Linked DNA regions of Arabidopsis thaliana. The protein of the gene in region 2 purifies or fractionates together with the protein of the main gene of each other region. This does not show direct contact. Each region holds a gene or a part of one and is shown on either strand. Other genes may lie near its edges.

The links. Proteins that work in one complex are often made in the same cells at the same time.
Region 1: the proteins of AT4G18300 (region 2) and AT4G31480 fractionate together in Arabidopsis thaliana (co-fractionation; one large-scale study listed by BioGRID). This does not show direct contact.
Region 3: the proteins of AT4G18300 (region 2) and MAC3B fractionate together in Arabidopsis thaliana (co-fractionation; one large-scale study listed by BioGRID). This does not show direct contact.

What each region holds. Positions count from the first base shown.
Region 1 is NC_003075.7:15,261,257-15,268,397, forward strand, and holds AT4G31480 (Coatomer, beta subunit), read left to right. Parts: upstream 1-1,897; 5' UTR 1,898-2,819; coding exon 2,820-4,934; intron 4,935-5,161; coding exon 5,162-5,671; intron 5,672-5,763; coding exon 5,764-5,849; intron 5,850-5,923; coding exon 5,924-6,128; 3' UTR 6,129-6,129; intron 6,130-6,212; 3' UTR 6,213-6,635; downstream 6,636-7,141. Other genes in the region: AT4G31470 (CAP (Cysteine-rich secretory proteins, Antigen 5, and Pathogenesis-related 1 protein) superfamily protein), read right to left, coding at 490-1,047. UniProt on the Arabidopsis thaliana protein: The coatomer is a cytosolic protein complex that binds to dilysine motifs and reversibly associates with Golgi non-clathrin-coated vesicles, which further mediate biosynthetic protein transport from the ER, via the Golgi up to the trans Golgi network.
Region 2 is NC_003075.7:10,116,882-10,121,791, forward strand, and holds AT4G18300 (Trimeric LpxA-like enzyme), read left to right. Parts: upstream 1-1,902; 5' UTR 1,903-1,970; coding exon 1,971-4,100; 3' UTR 4,101-4,377; downstream 4,378-4,910. Other genes in the region: KAT2 (potassium channel KAT1-like protein), read left to right, coding at 1-205, 304-402, 494-526, 618-803, 906-1,395, 1,478-1,596.
Region 3 is NC_003071.7:14,125,635-14,133,133, forward strand, and holds MAC3B (MOS4-associated complex 3B), read right to left. Parts: upstream 5,591-7,499; 5' UTR 5,367-5,590; coding exon 5,354-5,366; intron 5,259-5,353; coding exon 5,173-5,258; intron 4,926-5,172; coding exon 4,854-4,925; intron 4,768-4,853; coding exon 4,705-4,767; intron 4,367-4,704; coding exon 4,280-4,366; intron 4,131-4,279; coding exon 3,989-4,130; intron 3,900-3,988; coding exon 3,778-3,899; intron 3,530-3,777; coding exon 3,413-3,529; intron 3,066-3,412; coding exon 2,970-3,065; intron 2,889-2,969; coding exon 2,829-2,888; intron 2,484-2,828; coding exon 2,409-2,483; intron 2,315-2,408; coding exon 2,210-2,314; intron 1,980-2,209; coding exon 1,863-1,979; intron 1,766-1,862; coding exon 1,688-1,765; intron 1,599-1,687; coding exon 1,514-1,598; intron 1,413-1,513; coding exon 1,361-1,412; intron 1,234-1,360; coding exon 1,163-1,233; coding exon of another isoform or gene 1,158-1,162; intron 1,087-1,157; coding exon 950-1,086; 3' UTR 507-949; downstream 1-506. UniProt on the Arabidopsis thaliana protein: Probable ubiquitin-protein ligase which is mainly involved pre-mRNA splicing and DNA repair. Component of the MAC complex that probably regulates defense responses through transcriptional control and thereby is essential for plant innate immunity.

The DNA of each region.
Region 1 (7,141 bases), 5.1 Mb from region 2:
GGCTTTTTTAATTCGTTGGCTCTTAGGCCCAAATTAATTCTCTCATTAATTTACGGTTCGGTTTTAATCGGTTCTAATTTGTCAATCCGGATAAAAAGTCAATAACATCTAACATAGACCAAACCATTATCCCAAAGAAAAAAAAAACATAGACCAAACCAAGTCAACATGAATTGAAATTTAAGAACCTCGGTCCTCCCAACTCAACCGAAACACAATCAAACCGGCCAAACATTGTTTTTTTTACGGCAACAAAGATATATCAAAACACAAATTGCAACACTAAAAATCATGTGTTTTATTGGTGCCTTATATAACAAATGAAACCTTACCCGAAAGGTTTAGCATATATGACATCCAGACAAGAGAAAACGTAATTCATCATTTTCGTTATCTAACATACAAGAATCAAAACAAGATTTCACATTAACAAAGATAAAGTGTACATAGTTGAGGAAAATAAAGGTAAAGATAAAGTGTAGACAATATTCAAAAGGGTGGTTGTCCAACAATGTTACCAGGAGGATCATAGTTACAAATAATAAATGTGTCACCGGTCTTGCAAAAACTGATTGCACACCCAATCCTCGAACTCTTCTTCCATACAAGTTGCGTGTAATGCAAACAATCCCCATTCGCCTTGCAGTGGGAAGTCCTCCGGTCATAGTATTTCATCTCCGAGGCCCATGCAGCCACCGCATCCCGTGGAGTCCAACCTTTTCCGCTTCCCCAGAAGAGATTCTCCCCGTAAGGTCCCCCGGAGTGGATAAGTTTGCAATCTCCACGGCGGGTTCTGGCCCACCGGCTCGCATAGAGGGCGAGGCTATTGCTCCATTTGAGAGGAGGGAGACGAAGCTTGGCTCGTAAGATGTTGTGTGGTCGGAGAAACTGCTGCTGAATGGTGTTGCGGGCTAGAGCTTTGTCTTGAGAAAAAATTAGTGTTGATGTTGTCGGTGTTCTGTTTGATGGGATTTGAAAAGAGAGAGAAGGAAGTGGAGTGCTGATAACTATGATAATGATGATGAATATCAGAGTTTTTTGTTCCATTGGGATGCTAAGTTAGATTTGTTTCTGAGCCTCTAGATCTAGCTAGTACGATCCTTACCATATATATATACACACACACACATAATTGTTTATGCTTTCATATTTGTACGTATATATCATCTAACGAATCTAAACACATGCTATGTTAATAATGCGCAATGACAAGTGCTAATCATTTCGGTGGAACATTGATTATTTGTAGGGAATGATTTTATTCAAACAAAGCATACATTATTGAGCTAATTAATAGATCATTATATATGAAGGAAGTTTTAATAGGATGTTTTCTTTTTTTCTTGTAAGAAGAGACTTTATCATAGCAACGAGAATATATCCCAAGCATAAAACATTATATACAAACTCATTCAAATGAAAACCTAAGTTAGATATTTAATTTGACCACTCTTAAAATACTTGTTTAGTTATAACATGTTTACTATGCAGATTTATGAGGCGTATCAGATGGTGTGCTAGAGAACGTGATACAAATTTGGATGCCTTGTTTTCAAGAAATCTTATACATTCCTTGGAGATCAATTTGTATTGTGAGGCTTATAGTCATTGAGCTTACCGTTGATTAACTAAATTTATATTATATAGAACATCAAATAGACGAAAAAAATCAATTTAGTTGACCACCGTTTGTTAGCTAGGTTATAAACTCTGACCCAAAGTGTCCTATGCTTTCAGTATTCAGTTTATTTTATAACGTGTGGGGTCGTTTTGGAAACAATTAAAACAATAGGGGCTATATTTTTCTCAAGTTCTGTTGGACTGGGCTTGTCGTTAATCAATATTTGGGCTTTTGAGGTTGACTCGCTTTTTTCCGTTCTTCGTTTTCCAAAATCAAACCCAAAAGGATTTGGAGGAGTTAATTCACCTGACGAATCCACCACCATAATATTAAGCACATTTGATCTCTCACTTCCTTGGTGCGAGTGTTTTGTTTTCCGAGATCCAAAATCTTCTCTTGGATCCAAAGCTGTGTTACTGTGGATCTCCTCCTCCTCTCTCCCTGGATCTCGTACCTTTGAGGTTTGTCTCTCTGTGTTAAACTTGCGACTCAGATTTCATAGAGATCGATCCCACTTTTGCCTTTTCCTTTGTGAAAATCTACAATGTTCAATTATTCTCTGGCGCTCTTTGTTTGATCTCGTTGAATATTGATCTGATTCCGGTAGGAAACCGATTTTCATGTTTGTGCAGCTGAGTGAGACTGCGAATTATGTAGATTTCATTGTTTGTTCATCTAATCTGGGGAGATAGATCGCATTTTTTTTTTTTTTGAATTTTGGTTGATCCGAAGCTGTTTTAACTGATTTTTCGTTTTTATGTTATTATTTTGGTCGTAGTTGTAGTACAGTGATGTGTATTGCTGGATCTGAGGATTTAGATTTGTCAATGTTTTGCATCTTTGGGTCTCTGATTGGACATTACCGAATATTCTTCTGAAATTATGATGTTTTCTCATAAACCACGGATTCGAGAATAGAGATCATGTATTCAATGTATTGAAATCCAAGCAGAGAGGTATGGATTATCGCCGATGATACTGTTGAACTTCTTGTATAGAACTTACTCTAGCACTGATGAGGACACTAGTAAGGTGCTTATATTCAGTAATTCGAACTTGAAATCGCCAGAAATATTAAAAGTTTTGATATCTTGTTTTTACTTGTGATCTATACTTCATTATGTCTTTAATCAATTGTAACAATTTTGCTCTATTCATCTTCTATTTCTTATATTAACAAAGGAACACTTGTTCGTGAATGGTTTTTCCTTTTCATTTGAGCTCACAGATTTTTTTCTCTTTCACTTTTTGTGCAGCACCGGAGAAGATGGACAAATCTAGTACCATGCTTGTTCACTATGACAAAGGGACTCCAGCAGTTGCTAATGAGATTAAAGAAGCTCTCGAAGGAAATGATGTTGAAGCTAAAGTTGATGCCATGAAGAAGGCAATTATGCTTTTGCTGAATGGTGAAACCATTCCTCAGCTTTTCATAACCATTATAAGATATGTGCTACCTTCTGAGGACCACACAATCCAAAAGCTTCTGTTGCTGTACCTGGAGCTGATTGAAAAGACTGATTCTAAGGGGAAGGTGTTACCTGAAATGATTTTGATATGCCAGAATCTTCGTAATAACCTTCAGCATCCTAATGAGTACATCCGTGGAGTGACACTGAGGTTTCTCTGCCGGATGAAGGAGACTGAAATTGTGGAGCCTTTAACTCCATCAGTGTTACAAAATCTGGAGCATCGCCATCCATTTGTTCGCAGGAATGCCATTCTGGCCATCATGTCGATATATAAGCTTCCACAAGGCGACCAACTCTTTGTGGATGCGCCTGAAATGATCGAGAAAGTTCTATCAACCGAACAAGATCCTTCTGCCAAGAGAAATGCATTTCTAATGCTCTTTACCTGTGCTGAAGAACGTGCAGTGAATTATCTTCTGAGCAATGTTGACAAGGTTTCAGACTGGAATGAATCACTTCAGATGGTGGTGCTGGAGTTGATTCGAAGTGTGTGTAAGACTAAACCAGCAGAGAAGGGGAAATATATTAAGATTATTATTTCTCTGTTAAGTGCTACTTCTTCTGCAGTTATCTATGAATGTGCTGGGACACTTGTTTCTCTCTCATCTGCCCCTACTGCGATTCGGGCTGCTGCCAACACCTACTGCCAACTTCTTCTTTCTCAGAGTGACAACAATGTGAAGCTTATTTTACTCGATCGGTTGTATGAGCTTAAGACATTGCACAGAGATATCATGGTTGAGTTGATAATAGATGTGCTCAGAGCACTCTCAAGCCCAAACCTTGATATCCGCAGGAAGACGCTTGACATTTCCCTTGACTTGATTACCCATCATAATATCAATGAGGTCGTTCAAATGTTGAAGAAAGAAGTTGTGAAGACACAGAGTGGAGAACTTGAGAAGAATGGGGAGTACAGACAAATGCTTATTCAAGCCATCCACGCTTGTGCAGTGAAGTTCCCCGAAGTTGCAAGCACAGTGGTCCACCTTCTGATGGACTTCTTGGGAGATAGCAATGTGGCTTCAGCTCTTGACGTGGTTGTTTTTGTTAGAGAGATAATAGAAACAAATCCCAAGTTAAGAGTTTCAATCATCACAAGGTTATTGGACACGTTCTATCAGATCCGAGCAGGAAAGGTCTGCCCTTGTGCCCTTTGGATAATTGGGGAGTATTGCCTATCACTTTCGGAAGTTGAGAGTGGCATTTCAACTATCACGCAATGCCTTGGCGAATTACCATTTTACTCTGTTTCTGAGGAGTCTGAGCCAACTGAGACATCAAAGAAGATTCAGCCTACCTCTTCTGCCATGGTGTCCTCTAGAAAGCCAGTGATTCTTGCTGATGGAACTTATGCTACCCAAAGCGCAGCCTCTGAAACCACATTCTCCTCACCTACAGTTGTTCAAGGATCACTGACTTCTGGAAATTTGAGAGCACTGCTACTAACTGGTGATTTTTTCCTCGGAGCAGTGGTTGCTTGCACGTTGACCAAACTTGTTCTTAGGTTAGAAGAGGTTCAGTCTTCTAAAACTGAAGTAAATAAGACAGTCACACAGGCTTTGTTGATCATGGTTTCTATGTTGCAACTTGGGCAATCTCCTGTTTCTCCACACCCTATTGATAATGATTCGTATGAGAGGATTGTGTTGTGCATAAAATTGCTTTGCCATAGGAATGATGAGATGAAAAAGATATGGTTAGAATCCTGCCGCCAGAGTTTTGTCAAGATGATTTCTGAAAAACAGCTTAGAGAGATGGAGGAACTGAAGGCGAAGACCCAAACAACGCATGCTCAACCTGATGATCTAATTGACTTCTTCCATCTAAAGAGTCGGAAGGTATTATTACTTCCTAAGCTTCCCTTTGCTTTATTGGGTTTTTTTTTCCATATGAGTTTTCCTTTTCAATCTGTTCAGTTCTGTTACGTTGGTGTCTACTTTTTCTTACAGTTCATATCCAATTTTTTTTTTCGCATTCTCAAAGAAAGTTCGAAAGTTGATAGTGGCATGTTATGTTTATTTATTTCGGTCAGTAGTTGAAATTACTGACGATAAGTTTCTTTCAGGGAATGAGTCAACTTGAGTTGGAAGACCAAGTACAAGATGACCTAAAGCGTGCAACTGGAGAATTCACCAAGGACGAGAACGATGCTAACAAACTTAACCGCATTCTTCAACTCACAGGATTCAGTGACCCAGTCTATGCTGAAGCATATGTGACGGTACACCATTATGATATTGCTCTTGAAGTTACAGTAATCAACCGAACCAAGGAAACCCTTCAGAACTTGTGCTTGGAGTTAGCAACCATGGGTGATCTCAAACTTGTTGAGCGTCCTCAGAACTACAGTCTGGCACCTGAAAGAAGCATGCAGATTAAAGCAAACATCAAGGTGTCGTCCACAGAGACGGGAGTCATATTCGGGAACATCGTCTATGAGACATCAAATGTAATGGAGCGAAACGTCGTTGTTCTTAATGACATACACATTGATATCATGGACTATATCTCCCCTGCTGTGTGTTCAGAGGTTGCTTTCAGAACTATGTGGGCAGAGTTCGAATGGGAAAACAAGGTAATTTATTGAAACCTTTTATAGTTGTACCTTCTTTTCGTATGTTTGTTGGAGTTTGGTATAACCAATTCCTGTTGTATTCTTTATGTCAGGTTGCTGTGAACACCACAATACAAAACGAAAGAGAATTCCTCGACCACATTATCAAATCTACAAACATGAAATGTCTCACTGCTCCGTAAGTGTAAATTCTTCTTTCATCCTGTAGAAACGAAAAACTCTTCTTACTAATTAATACTTCTTTACTTGCAGATCCGCAATAGAAGGCGAATGTGGATTCCTTGCAGCAAACTTATACGCAAAAAGTGTATTTGGTGAGGATGCTCTTGTGAATGTGAGTATTGAGAAGCAAACGGATGGAGCATTGAGTGGTTACATAAGGATAAGGAGCAAGACGCAAGGGATTGCCCTAAGTCTTGGGGACAAAATCACCCTCAAACAAAAGGGTAGTAGCTGAGGTTAGCTAATCTTTTCAAAACATATTCTATTTCTCGATTAATACATGTTTTAATCCTTAAACCGCAATTGGTCTAAATTTCAGTACCATACCGATGATTTCTCACAGTGGCGTGCAAAGGTAACAGGTTTAGACTACGTACGTTTCTCTTGAGCAATTATCGTTGGTTGAATCTGCTTATTATATGGAGGGAGGAGGCGTTCAAGGGTATATGTAAAAAGAGTAATTGGCTATCGTTCTTACTTAACCGGTATATTTTCTGGTATGGTACCGATGGATTTCTTCATCTCATATGGCAGTGTGTTTTTTACTGTACTAGACGATTTTGTTTTATTTGTAATGCTTTTTCTTCTATAATGTCGTTTGTTGAGGACTTTAAACCGTGAACTTTATGATATTGTAGATTTCAAAGCTACATTTGGTTTGCTCCATTTTAGAACTCGTCATTTCAGATTTGATCTCTATTCTTTTCTTTCATATGCATTTGAAGTGAACTATTCAATTGTCAAAGCTAGACTTTAATTTGCTAGTAGCTATATAATACGGGTTATGTTAGCAAGTAAGTTGTAATGAAACGCATGTATTAATATGGACCATATTCAAAATCTACAAGCCAAAGAAACCAATTGCTTCACAACCAAACCCATAACATTTGATTCTTACAGCCTTTTCTATTCTCAAGAAAACCAAGCAATAATTTTTAAGCAAAATTTAATAATCTTAAATCACTTGCCTCAAGGTACCAAGGGACGATCACATACACATTCGCGTAACTAGATATCGCTAACATCATTAGACAAGAAAATACTAGACGCGAGTAGAAGAGGAAAGATCCAAATACATCATCTTCTATCATAAAATCATCCATCTCTAACCGAAAGTTGGAGCACGTTTCAAGGAAAAACTGACATAATTCCTAATTACGCTCACTTTTAAAAGTTTGGGGTCGTTTTGGAAACAATAAAAAAGTAGGGGCTATGCTTTCTCAACTTCTATTGGACTGGGCTTGTCAA
Region 2 (4,910 bases):
AAGAAACCAACTCCCACCAAACATACAAGACCAAATGTTATCACACATTTGCTTAAAGTTTAAAACAGAGGGTCTGAAACAACAAGAAGCTTTAAATGGTTTGCCGAAAGCAATCCGGTCAAGCATTGCAAACTATCTCTTCTTCCCAATCGTTCAGAACGTCTACCTATTTCACGGAGTTTCTCGCAACTTCCTATTTCAGTTGGTAAAACACTCATTTGTTAACTCTTTCTTTGTCCATCTCTTTCTGTTATAATGTTCCATAAAGTTACCAACCAACTCGATATGCTTTTTCTGACCAAGGTTTCAGATATAGACGCCGAATATTTCCCACCAAGAGAAGATGTAATACTACAGAACGAAGCTCCTACTGACCTCTACATCCTAGTCTCAGGGGCAGTGGTGAGTGAATGAAATTTAAAATAAATAATTGTATAGGAATGTTGAAGTTACCTTCTAACATGTTTTACTCGCTCATGTGGTGATTGTGCAGGATTTTACTGTCTACGTTGGCGAAGAAGATCAGGTATGTGAACAATATATATCACCAAAAGAACTTCACTGTAGAACTCTTAGCTGAAAAAAGAGAAATGACTGTAATCCTCACATTCATGTAGGTTCAAGGCAAGGCGGTTGTTGGCGATGCATTTGGAGAGATTGGTGTGTTATGCTATACACCACAACCTTTCACAGTTAGGACAACAGAACTATCTCAGATACTACGGATAAGCAAAAAATCTCTAATGAGTGCTATGCGAGCTCATGTCGAAGATGGACGAGTCATAATGAACAACCTCTTCATGGTAAGTAAGAATGATATAACATCCTGGGAACTAATTTTATTTCAGAGATGTTTTCACAATGATGTTAATCAATACGAACTCATTTCATGATGATATATGTAGAAACTTAGAGGGCAACAATCAATAGCAATTGATGATCCAAATTCAGAACCAGAGTCACTTCTCAAGGAGTGGCTTGTTGGTGGTTCAAAGACAGGAGAAGGAAACGCTAGTGATCAAGGACATGGGCACAAATATTTACAACTGCATGATTCAGAAAATATTGATATGGGGTCAACTGAATGGAGAGATTCAAGAAGATCTGGTTATGGCGAAACGAAAAGAGTTCGAGAACATACGATAGAGATAGAAGAAGGAGAAAAACCAAATAAAGAGTTTGATGGAAAAGGTTGCTCTGATGCAGATCTTACCTCATTTGAATTTCATTCACAGGAAGCATATCCATATTGCAGATCAAACATCCAAATCAAACAACATGAAGCTGCAAAACCAAAAGATAAAAGAGTTACCATCCACTTGAAGTCCCGGGACAAAGATTTGTCGAAGCTGATAATCCTTCCTGCTTCCATAGAAGAGTTGCTAAGACTTGCAGGTAAGCTCTTTTACTTGTTAATTCTCTAAGAAACTACTGAACATAAGAAGGAAGTAAAGTAAACTAGAAAATTATGGTGCAGGTGAAAAATTTGGATACAGCTTCACAAAGGTCACGAATGCGGAAAACGCAGAAATAGATGATGAAGATGTGATTAGAGATGGTGATCATTTGTATATTCTCATCAATGAAAACTCTTAACAAGACTTTAGTAACCACTGTTTTCTTTCCATAGAGTGTATATGTATATCTGCAGGCAATGTAATGTTTTTTACTAGAAAAACATTTGATCATCAAAGAAGATCCTAGAGAACTTATAACTGGACAATGTTAATCCATCAGAATTCTGAATTTAACAGAGCATTTCCCGCGTAAACGTTTACATTCGAGTTTATATATATTGGGCCTTATTGGGCTTAGATGAGTTTAATTACTAATAAATGAGATTAGGCCTAGTTAATTATAAAATAAACATTTTTTCCCCTTAAAAAATTGTATCAAAGATTTTCTCATGCGAGGATTTGATTTTGAAGTCTGTCGTGAATTTTTCATTTCAATCGAATTTGATCGGAGATATGGGTGCTCAGAAGAAACCCGCGGCGGCTAAGGTTCGTGAGGATTCAGAGGATCTAAGTCGTCAACGATTACAAGCCATTCTTCTAGCCGACAGCTTCACCACTCAATTCCGTTCCATAACCCTAGAACGACCAAAGGTACTATTGCCGATAGTGAACATCCCGATGATTGATTACACTTTAGCATGGCTCGAATCAGCTGGGATCGAAGAGGTTTTTGTGTTCTGTTGTGCTCATTCGTCGCAGATCATCGATTACCTGAAGAAATCGGAATGGTACACACGCCCAAACCCAAACTTGTTGGTGAGAACGATAGTGTCTCACAATTCCACCAGTGTTGGAGATGCTCTGCGTTATATCTATGAACAACAGACAGAGACGTCGCAGATTCAAGGTGATTTTGTTCTTGTTAGTGGTGATACTGTTAGTAATATGCCACTTGCTGATTTGATTCAACAACATAGAGATAGGAAGAAGAAAGATGAGAAAGCTATCATGACTATGGTTTTTAAGAAGCAGTCTAGACTAGGAATAGGATCTGATCAACTCTTTGTTGCAGTAGATCCTTTAACGAAACAGCTTCTTCATTACGAGGAATGTAATTCGAGAGGCGGGGACTTTTGCTTAGATAAGTCCTTGTTGGATAGTACTGTTTTATGCAGTGATATGCAGGATTGTTACATTGACATTTGTTCTCCTGAGGTGCTTAGTCTCTTTGAGGATAACTTTGATTATCAGCATATGCGCCGTCATTTTGTTAATGGTTTGCTTGTTGATGATATTATGGGTTACAAGATTTTCACTCATGAGATTCAGTCGAGTTGTTATGCTGCAAGGATCGACAATTTACGGAGCTATGACACTGTTAGCAAGGATATAATCCAGAGGTGGACATACCCGTACGTACCTAATATCGATTTCAGCGGGAATCGCCCTGTAAAGCTCGGGAGACGGGGGATATACCGGGCTTCTGATGCAGTTCAATCACACACTGCAGATGTTGGAGCTTCCACTGTCATTGGATATGGCACCAAAATTGGTAATGGAGGTAAAATCTATAACTCTGTTATTGGGAACGGATGTTGTATTGGATCAAATGTGGTGATACAAGGCTCATACATATGGAACAATGTTACGATTGAAGATGGGTGTGAGATAAGGAACGCTATTGTCTGTGATGGTGTGAAAGTCAGAGCAGGAGCTGTTCTGCAGCCTGGTGTTGTTTTGTCTTTCAGTGTTGTAGTTGGGCGGGACTTTGTTGTACCTGCATATTCAAAGGTCTCTTTACTTCAACAGCCAACTACAGAAGACAGCGATGAAGAGCTGGAATATGCTGATAGTAGCAGCGGGACTGCAGATCATTCGTCAGGCCTAAATAATTTGCAAATTGAGTCCAAAGCATCTGAGCTTGGTCCTGATGGAGCAGGTTACATCTGGGAAATATGTGACAGCGCTCATGATGAGGAGTGGAAACATTCTGTTGTACCAATCCCCATGGATAAACTTGCCGATATCACTGGGGCCATGGACGATGATGACATAGAGGATGACATTGTTGTCCCACCTTCTGGAGAGTTGAAATCTGATACTGATATTATTAACACTGATGCAAATGATTCCTATGGCGACTTTGAGAGAGAGGTTGAAGAAGAATTCTTAAGTGCCGTTGAAAAGGATAACAAAGCGGACATTGTAATTCCTTTGATTAACTCACACCGGTTGGCGTACAACATGGACTCTGCAGATTGTGCTGGAGCAGTATTCTACTCTATGATGAGACTGGCAGTAAAGAGTCCACATAATTCTGCTACTGAATTGTACAGAAACGCGATGGGTGTCATAACTAAATGGAAGGGAGTTCTTGGGTTCTATTTAAAGCAAACTGATGCACAGATAGAAGTGATAATGAAATTCGAAGAGATGTGTCAGGAATCTGAAGAGTTGAGCCCTTTGTTTGCTAAACTTCTGCCTTTTCTGTATGACAAAGACGTGGTGCAAGAAGATGCGATCTTGAGATGGGGGGAAGAGAAAGCAGGAGCAGACGATTGTGACAAAGTTTATCTGAATAAATGTGAGTCATTCATAAAGTGGCTCAAGGAAGCATCTGAGGAGGAAGAAGAAGATAGTTAGATTGGTAAGCGTGACTTTCGATAGGTTGCAATGTGATTTCATTATACAGTCTATTTTGTAAAGTGATAATTTACATTTAAGATAGTAGTACTCTGTTATTTAACTGGCATCATCAACAATCTTTTGTTAGGTTTGTTGTTGAATGAGATATTTCCCATAAATCTATCCATCAAGGGTTTGTTGTATACTTGCATGTGCAAGAGATATGTTGACTAGGCTATTAAAAGAATTCATACGAAACGTTTTGTAGATAGAGTAAAGTTGATTTAAATGTGAGTCTCAAACGAAACTTAACTTGTGACGGTGTTATTCCAAATTTCCCAATTCAACCTTTACTTTTGTGTCCTTACGTCTTGAAAACATTATTACCGTCTTTGGTAACTTCATAACATGGACTTAGGGTACGCGGAAAAAGAAGAGAAAGTGTAACAAACTTAAAAATTGACGGCTATGATCAAGTTAAAAAGAAGCTTAGTTACTTAATATAGAATTACTTGGAAATATGGTGGCTGGAGAGTTCGTCACCATGGTGATATTGACTAATGAGATAGAAAACACGAAATCATAATCACATTTTGTTTTCTATTTTGTTGTTAATTTTAGTGGATTGTGTGTGTTAATGTATTTCTGACGAAAATATTCGTTTTAGTATACTAGCCTGACTTTTAACTTAAAGCTATGGTTCAGTTTTTCTATAAAACTTGTATTCTCTTCATTCGATCTTCCCACACCACACATTATTATATTTCTCAAACGAAATTTCTCTCTTCAAACAAGAAATACTAAAAGACTGCTCGATCTCTTCAAAAT
Region 3 (7,499 bases), on a different chromosome or scaffold from region 2:
ATTTAGTAATGAAACCCAATAATAGTTACTTTATGAAAACACGTTTTCGACAATAATTAAAATGGAAGACAATTAGTATTATATTTACTCTGATCATCTAAAACTGGACAATTTTTTTCCCAGTAGCTAGTAAGGTTATGTATTTTGTAGTTGTTACTAATTACTATATAAAAAGTTCATCGTGTAGGTATTTCTTTAAGCTTAGTTTATGTATTTTGTAGTTTTTATACGATGATTTGTTCAAGTTATTTTAGTATTTTCAGACAAAATTAAAAAAATAATATAGACAGGGAGAAACATAAGCATTCTTTAGAATTGTGAGGAAACACGTGGTTATACCTTAACACGAATTGTCAATCCTGGTCACAATAAAGAAAGGGTATTACAAAACATTATCTTTTGCGTGAAGTTAAACTAATCCTGGAATTGCAAAAGGAATCACGAATCTGATATTCGTGGATAAATGTAAATATTGTGCCCAGTGATTTTTGACCAAGTACAGTCAAGGGTATTCTTTAACATTTAGTTAAAATTTTGTTCTCAGAGACCAGCTGAAATCATTTGTTGGAATACGGAATACTAAGCAGACCACCACTGTCTAGAACAGATTAAATAATACCAAATGCGGTTTAGCACCATCGGTTTGGGATCTTCATTAGTGTCTGAATTCATTTGGCAACAGAAAGAACACATTTTTTGGTACATATATTGAAGGTACAAAGCGATTAAAAGAGCCTATAAGAAAACTCGAGGGTTTGTGAGTGTCATTGTTTGAATTCCAAGAGGTAGCGAGGATGATCACAATCACCACTCACTCATGACCCGCACCTATGAAATTCTCCCCCATTGCTGCAAATACTGTAAGATACAACAGAACTTGAGAAATTTGAGCGAGATAACACTGGAGATGGACATTTGGAATGTTCTGTCTGAGTTTTTTACGGATTGTTCACGAGTCTTGCGCAGAGTCATCATCGACGTTGGCTTTTTCATCACCAGGAAGACCAAATATCCGTAGGTTACGGTCCATCGAACCGACTGCAACGTACTGTGCATCTGAACCAAACTTCACACACGTAGCTTTACCTGCAAGTGTAAGGGCTTCGAAATTAGCAACATTATCGCTATGTGATCATTGAAGGAGTTAGGTAAGGGACTTTACCAGTGCCGGAGAGATCTGGGAGTGTCTTGATAAGGTTCCATTCAGCTTTCACACTTGCCGTCTGGTATACTCTGCAGCCAAAACACATAAATTGTGTTAACCCAACGTGCAGATTAATCAAGCTAGCTTGGTCTCTTTGGATATTTTCTTTAGCTGAGCTTTGGATGTTTTGATCACTATTTTCAAATGTGTACTCACTTGATATCTGATGCAGCAATACCGAGATAAGATCCGCTAGGATCAAACTCCACTGCACACAAAAAAAAAGTAGGTTTAATCAAAGCGAGCTTATAATACATAGAAAGTTCTCTATCAACAAAATGAGTAGAAACAGATACGATAGTTGTGTACCAGAGTTCGCATCTGCAGATAAAAATGATTTGAAGTTCCTTAACTTGCGCAGATCCCACAACCTAACACCATCCTCTGCAGCTGTCTGTCAATTCCAGGACAAAAAGAAAATCATTCATGTAAGCATAACTTAAGCTGTATTCTCTCTTCTCGTATTTTGTTCAAAGTACTCACCGCGAGGAAGTAACCATTTTCAGAGAAAGATATAGCTGTAACTTCCCCAGTGTGTCCATCAAACTTAGCCACATTTGCCTATTATCAACCAAAAAAATGAAAACTATAATGAAGAACACTGTACACAATTAATAATTTTAATAGGTCATATAGTTTGGAAGCCCATAGTTTTTACCTGACTTTTAACGTCCCAAATCTTAACAACAGATTGAGAAGTACCGGTTCCGAGAATGAGACCATCGGGATGAAAAGCAGCAGCCGTGTAATCTACATTCTTTGAATCATCTGATACCTGAATAAAAACAAGGAATATGACAAAGGCTTTCATGAGTAAAGGAGCTCGTACTCTAACCATACACCGAACCACGGATTTTAGCTGATATGAAAATGCTCATGAAGAAAGTATAATCCACACAATTGTTTCTTGTAAATATATATAATCATTTCTGTTATATAGCATACAGGCAAAGCTAGAAAGGAAAACAGGTATTAGTTGGTTCTTTAAGGAAAGTGTTTAGGGACCTGTGCAAGGCATGAGCCAGAGGACAGATCGTAGAAGCACCATGTACCATCAAGAGATGCCGAGACAAAGTATTTATTTGTGGGATGCACAGTTACAGCTCGCACCTGAATAAAGCATCATTAACTAAAGTTACACAAAAAGTATATGAATTAAAAGAACATGGAACGGACTGTAAGAGTTCCTCAAATTCATCCTTACCTCCGCAGAATGATCATTCAATGTATACCCACAAGCATAATTCCCATCCCCAGGATTCCGCCAGATACGGACTGTCTGCAGGTAAGTCACTAATTTAGTAATAAAAAGATAACTATCGAACAATTGGTGATGTACATCCTCTGTGAAATCGAACAGAGCATCCAACAAATTACAGAGACTTCTGGTGTGAGTGATCAAAATGTGTTTTATAACTCGCAGCAAACAAAGTTTTCAAAGATAGCATCATGACATCTACAGAAAAAGATTCAATGGCTACTAGTCATCTTTTCACAATACAAATAAACAAATGCATCTGCCGGCTACTACTTTTCAAAACGAAGGCAATACACAATGTGGGATTACAATTTCCTATAGAACTAATACCAAGCACTATTCATAAAATATGACATATGAAATTACCTTGTCAGCAGAAGCAGTCAAAACAAGATCAGAGTCGCCTACAAATTTTACGCTTGTAACCTACAAAAGAATCAACACATATCAAGCATGGAGCTACATGAAACAAATTCAAACAAAAATCTAAGGCAAAAAGTTAAAAACCTTCTTCGAGTGACCAGTCAGTGTTGACAAGATTTGTCCAGAAGGGCGATCAAAGAGAACAGCAGTTGCATCAACTCCTCCAGTAGCAATGACATCCTGGTCACCGAATTAAGAAGAAATATAGTTCTGATGTAAATTTTTGCACACCAAAACTTAGCATAATATAAGATCAAAGAAATGCAAAGAATCCCTGGTCGTGGTCGTAATACAAACTATCACACACAGCATATAGGTATGTAATAGGCAAATAAAAATATTATGCAAAAAAGACATAACAATGATATGATCATTCCCCAACCAAGGACTCAAGGCTATATTCAAATAATTTATACATAGAAGATTAGAAGTTTGCCAGTCGGTTATCACATGCTATGAAGAGGCTTTCAGAAACAGAGGAAAATAAGAATAAGGGGATGTGATTAAAAAACCATCAGATGAGGGACCTTAGAATGTAGAATGTCCATCGAACAAATGCCTGGTTTGTTGGTCTTGTGAAGTGGGTGGCTTGATAGCTGAGTGAACCTCTCCAAAGTATCTATTGACGCCAATGTTTGAGGAATCTACAGAAAAATATTAAAATTATCAAGACAGCAGGAACCAATACAAAAAAAATCACAAGACTAGGCAGGAGGGCAACATTTTTTTAGTTAAGTTTCAAACCGAATACTAGGATCTAAATAGATATAGTGAGTATAAATCACATGCCTCTACAAACAAGAAAAAATACATAAACGTAGCAAGTCGTCAGGTCTTGCCTTCTAACATTCAAATGCATATTCAAAGATAGATACGAGTCTATGTGCAGTACCTGTCGCTTTTTTCGCTTCTGGGAAAGAGCAGCATTACAATCAGTCAATTCCGTAATAATTTCAGCTGAAATTCCAGGACACAATTTCTTTGCATCAGGACCCAGTTCCTCGTCAACGGCAGCTATTATACAACAAAAGAGTATAGTGACATGTTACAAGAGGAAAAAATAACTAGCCAATATATTTTGAGTAAAAAGTGTACAATCATACCTCGTTTACCATTACTCAGAGCAGCATTAGCTGTCACAGCTTCAGGGGCCGCAGGTATATGTCTCTCAACCTCGGCCAGTAATTGGCGTGCTTCGTCTCTTTCTTTTTTAAGTCTAGCAATCACACGACAAGCAGAATCATGCTGCAAACAGAAGGTAAAACAGTCCCATCAGTAGACTAAACACACTAAAAGATGAAATGAGTGAGGAAAATAAATCTAGGGTGCATAAAACAAATTTATTGACCATGGCACCTCATAAACTGGTGACAGAAACACACAGCCAAAATTACCTGATACAAGGCATGACTTAGCTCTTGCCTTGCAGTATGTAGTTGTTGCTCCAGTGCAAAATTTGATAGCATCAAACCGTCCCATTCCTAAAAAATGCAAAGCAGCTAAACTTCTCACGCAATTACTTCGAATAATTCATCCCAAAAAAATGAACAATTTATGTTGATTAGCACTCAGAAAAGGAGCAGGTGATCCGCGTAATAATGTTACTAAAGAGAAGAGGCCAATGTGTTCAGTTAAACGAATCTTGTATACATTTAAGAAACAACCTTGGAAAATTTATTTTAAGTCAATCAACCAAACTCTACATGACCAATAACATAAAACATTGTGACATTTCTTAGTGAACTTCCCATTAAGAAAACAAGCATAAATCCAAGAGAAAAGGTAGGAACAAATTTGCAAAAGAACAATTAAAGCTTACATTCTGGAACGTTCCGAGCAATCCAGGGATACTAGCTGTATGCAATGTTTTCGGCTTTATGATCTACACAATTGACAATTACATTAAAAAATCTCAAACAAATATCGTCAACAGTACTTTGCATCAAATAGTTAAAGAGATTACACTACCTCCCCAGTTTTGATGGGAACAATGTCATCAATGGTAAGTGGTTCGCCAGTAACCGGGCACTTCCCATAATCCTACAGAGGAAAATAATTTAGAAGAAATCATTCATTTCCAAGTGGCGTGATAATCTAAAAGAGCTCTCACTGGAGATCGGATCTCATTGGTGCCCAAAAGAATTTCTCGATAATTTCACAGTGCTACAAGAATCATCCGAAGTAAACCAAACAACATCACTCAAATTACGAGAAATCCTTCCAGTGAGAACAAAAAAAACAAGACGGTAAAAGTACTTGGCAGTGCTTAATTCAGCTCAAAGCTTACCGATATATGTCTTTCGATTAGTCGTCTCTCGAAGAGTAATCCTGACTTCGTCGAAACCACTGGCTCCACGGGAACTTCTCCTGAAACTGAAAGAACACAGTGCCGCCACCAACATCAACCATAAGAAAACCCTAAATCGGCATATTGAGAAAAAATAGAGAGAGACGACTGAAAGCTTTACTTGCACAGTTCATCGTAGGAAGAACGAGTGATACGACGAAGTACGAGAACTCAGGTCGATGTAGAACTTCCTGTGAGTGGGGCGGAGCAAGGGTTTTATCTTCTCCGGTCCGGCGCTACAAAGCAAAAACGCGGAAGCCGGGAAATGGTTGAAGAGAGAGACGACGATTAACACTCTCACTTGATATATTAGGGATTCAATTTAATTGGGCCTTTAACGATCACCTTCTTATATTTGGGCTTTTAAATCGATCCAACCATTAGAATTTGAAATTGACGACGTTTTATATTAGTTTTAAAATCTGTTTTAACTCATGTTGAACTAAAATTGGGCATTCAGTAATTTTGGTTGATTCATGTACATTTACTCATTAGATTATAAAACAAACCCATTGTTTTGTTACAGATTTTTTTTTGTTATATGTTGTTGCGACTATGTTTTAATCTAAAGAACGAGCACAAATATCGAATGAGACCGAGGTAGGTTTGTTCTTTGCATCTTAATCGCCTATCTTATACCCATTACCCACCAACACTCCATACTCACCAACAATCAAATAACAATTAACAACATATCCTCGATCACAACAAACAAAATCAACCGTTCAAGAGATCCTAAAAATATGTTCTAAGATGAAAGAATAAGGGATATATGTTTGTACATTTCATTGACAATTAGAGATATGGTTTATCTGTTGGTATATCGTTATGGATTCACGTTGCAAATGCGACCTCCACGGGTTCGATATACAAATTATATACCTAAGGTCAAAATCAATGGTATTTTATTTTTAATGTCTAAAGATAGGACGATGAGGGTACCATCCTAAGCACAATAGCTGTGTCCTTTCTATTTGCATAAAAGTTATATTCTTAGGATCCAAAGATGAAAGCGAACTCTCATACAAATACAATGCTCCAAGAAAAAAAGAAAAAAGAAAAAAAAAACAATGCTCCAAGAAAAAGATATTTATGAAGAAAAAATTATTTTTCATATTAAACCTAGATTGAAGAACGAGCTAATGACGCATATGTATAGTTCATATACGCATGACATTTTGTTTTGTTTTCAACCCTAAATAATACGTACGTATAACGTTTGAGATTATGTAATTAATATTGGTGAATCGTAATTATATATAGATAATTAATGGTTGATTATATATTACAGATGCACATGCATATATAAATTTTCTTCATTTTAGGTATTGGTTTTATATCTTGAAATTAAAGTGGTGGTCGTTTTCTATTTGGATAATGCGTGATGCATATATTGCATTTCAGACTTTATATGAAGATGGTCATATCTTCAAAAGTATCAATTCATCAAATCAGCTTTGATCTTAAGCTGTTTTACTTTTATTTTAATTTCCTTTCGTTAAATTTTAATCTGTAAACAATTTATTGCAATTCTCGTAATCCCAAATTCTGAACTTCTACACCCAGATAATCCTTATAATATGTGTCTTAATCGCTATTATGCACGTGTGTAGTGTAGTTTAAGCTCATACACAATTTTGTGTTCAAAAAAAAAACCTCATATAAAATTTAGTTTGTGCAGACGACTTGAAAGTGAAGTAATAATATTTTTGGACATAGAATAACTAGATAGACTCTTGACAATGATTTTCAAATGGTAGATAGACTTTTGTGACCAAAATAAGATACTGAAAGGCGATGTTGATGTCTCATGATTAGAACAAATAAAAAGAAGAGAACTATATTTTCCATGTAATGAAATAAGTGAAATACAAAAAACACTTAAGATCTACTATAGTAACCAAAAACGCTTTCAAAACCATTAAAATAATATTTTATTTTTATCGGCAACACAAGTACAAATGTAAATCGTGGGCTTAAACAAAAAGTGAATCCGTGTTTACCTATTTGAAGACTATAAATGTGAAATAAACACTCGTAAGTTATAGTTTGATGGATAACACGTACGACTCGTACTTTTGTTTGTGTCTTACGTACCGATAATGAGATCTCGAGCATGTAGCCTGTAGTCTCTACACACATATCTTCTCATATTAATTTTTTTCTGTTATGGACCTTATGGTTATTAGAATAACAAAAGTGTACGAAAGTGAAATATTCTCAATTTTGAATAACAATGCATTGACCCTATGCTCAAACTGTCACAA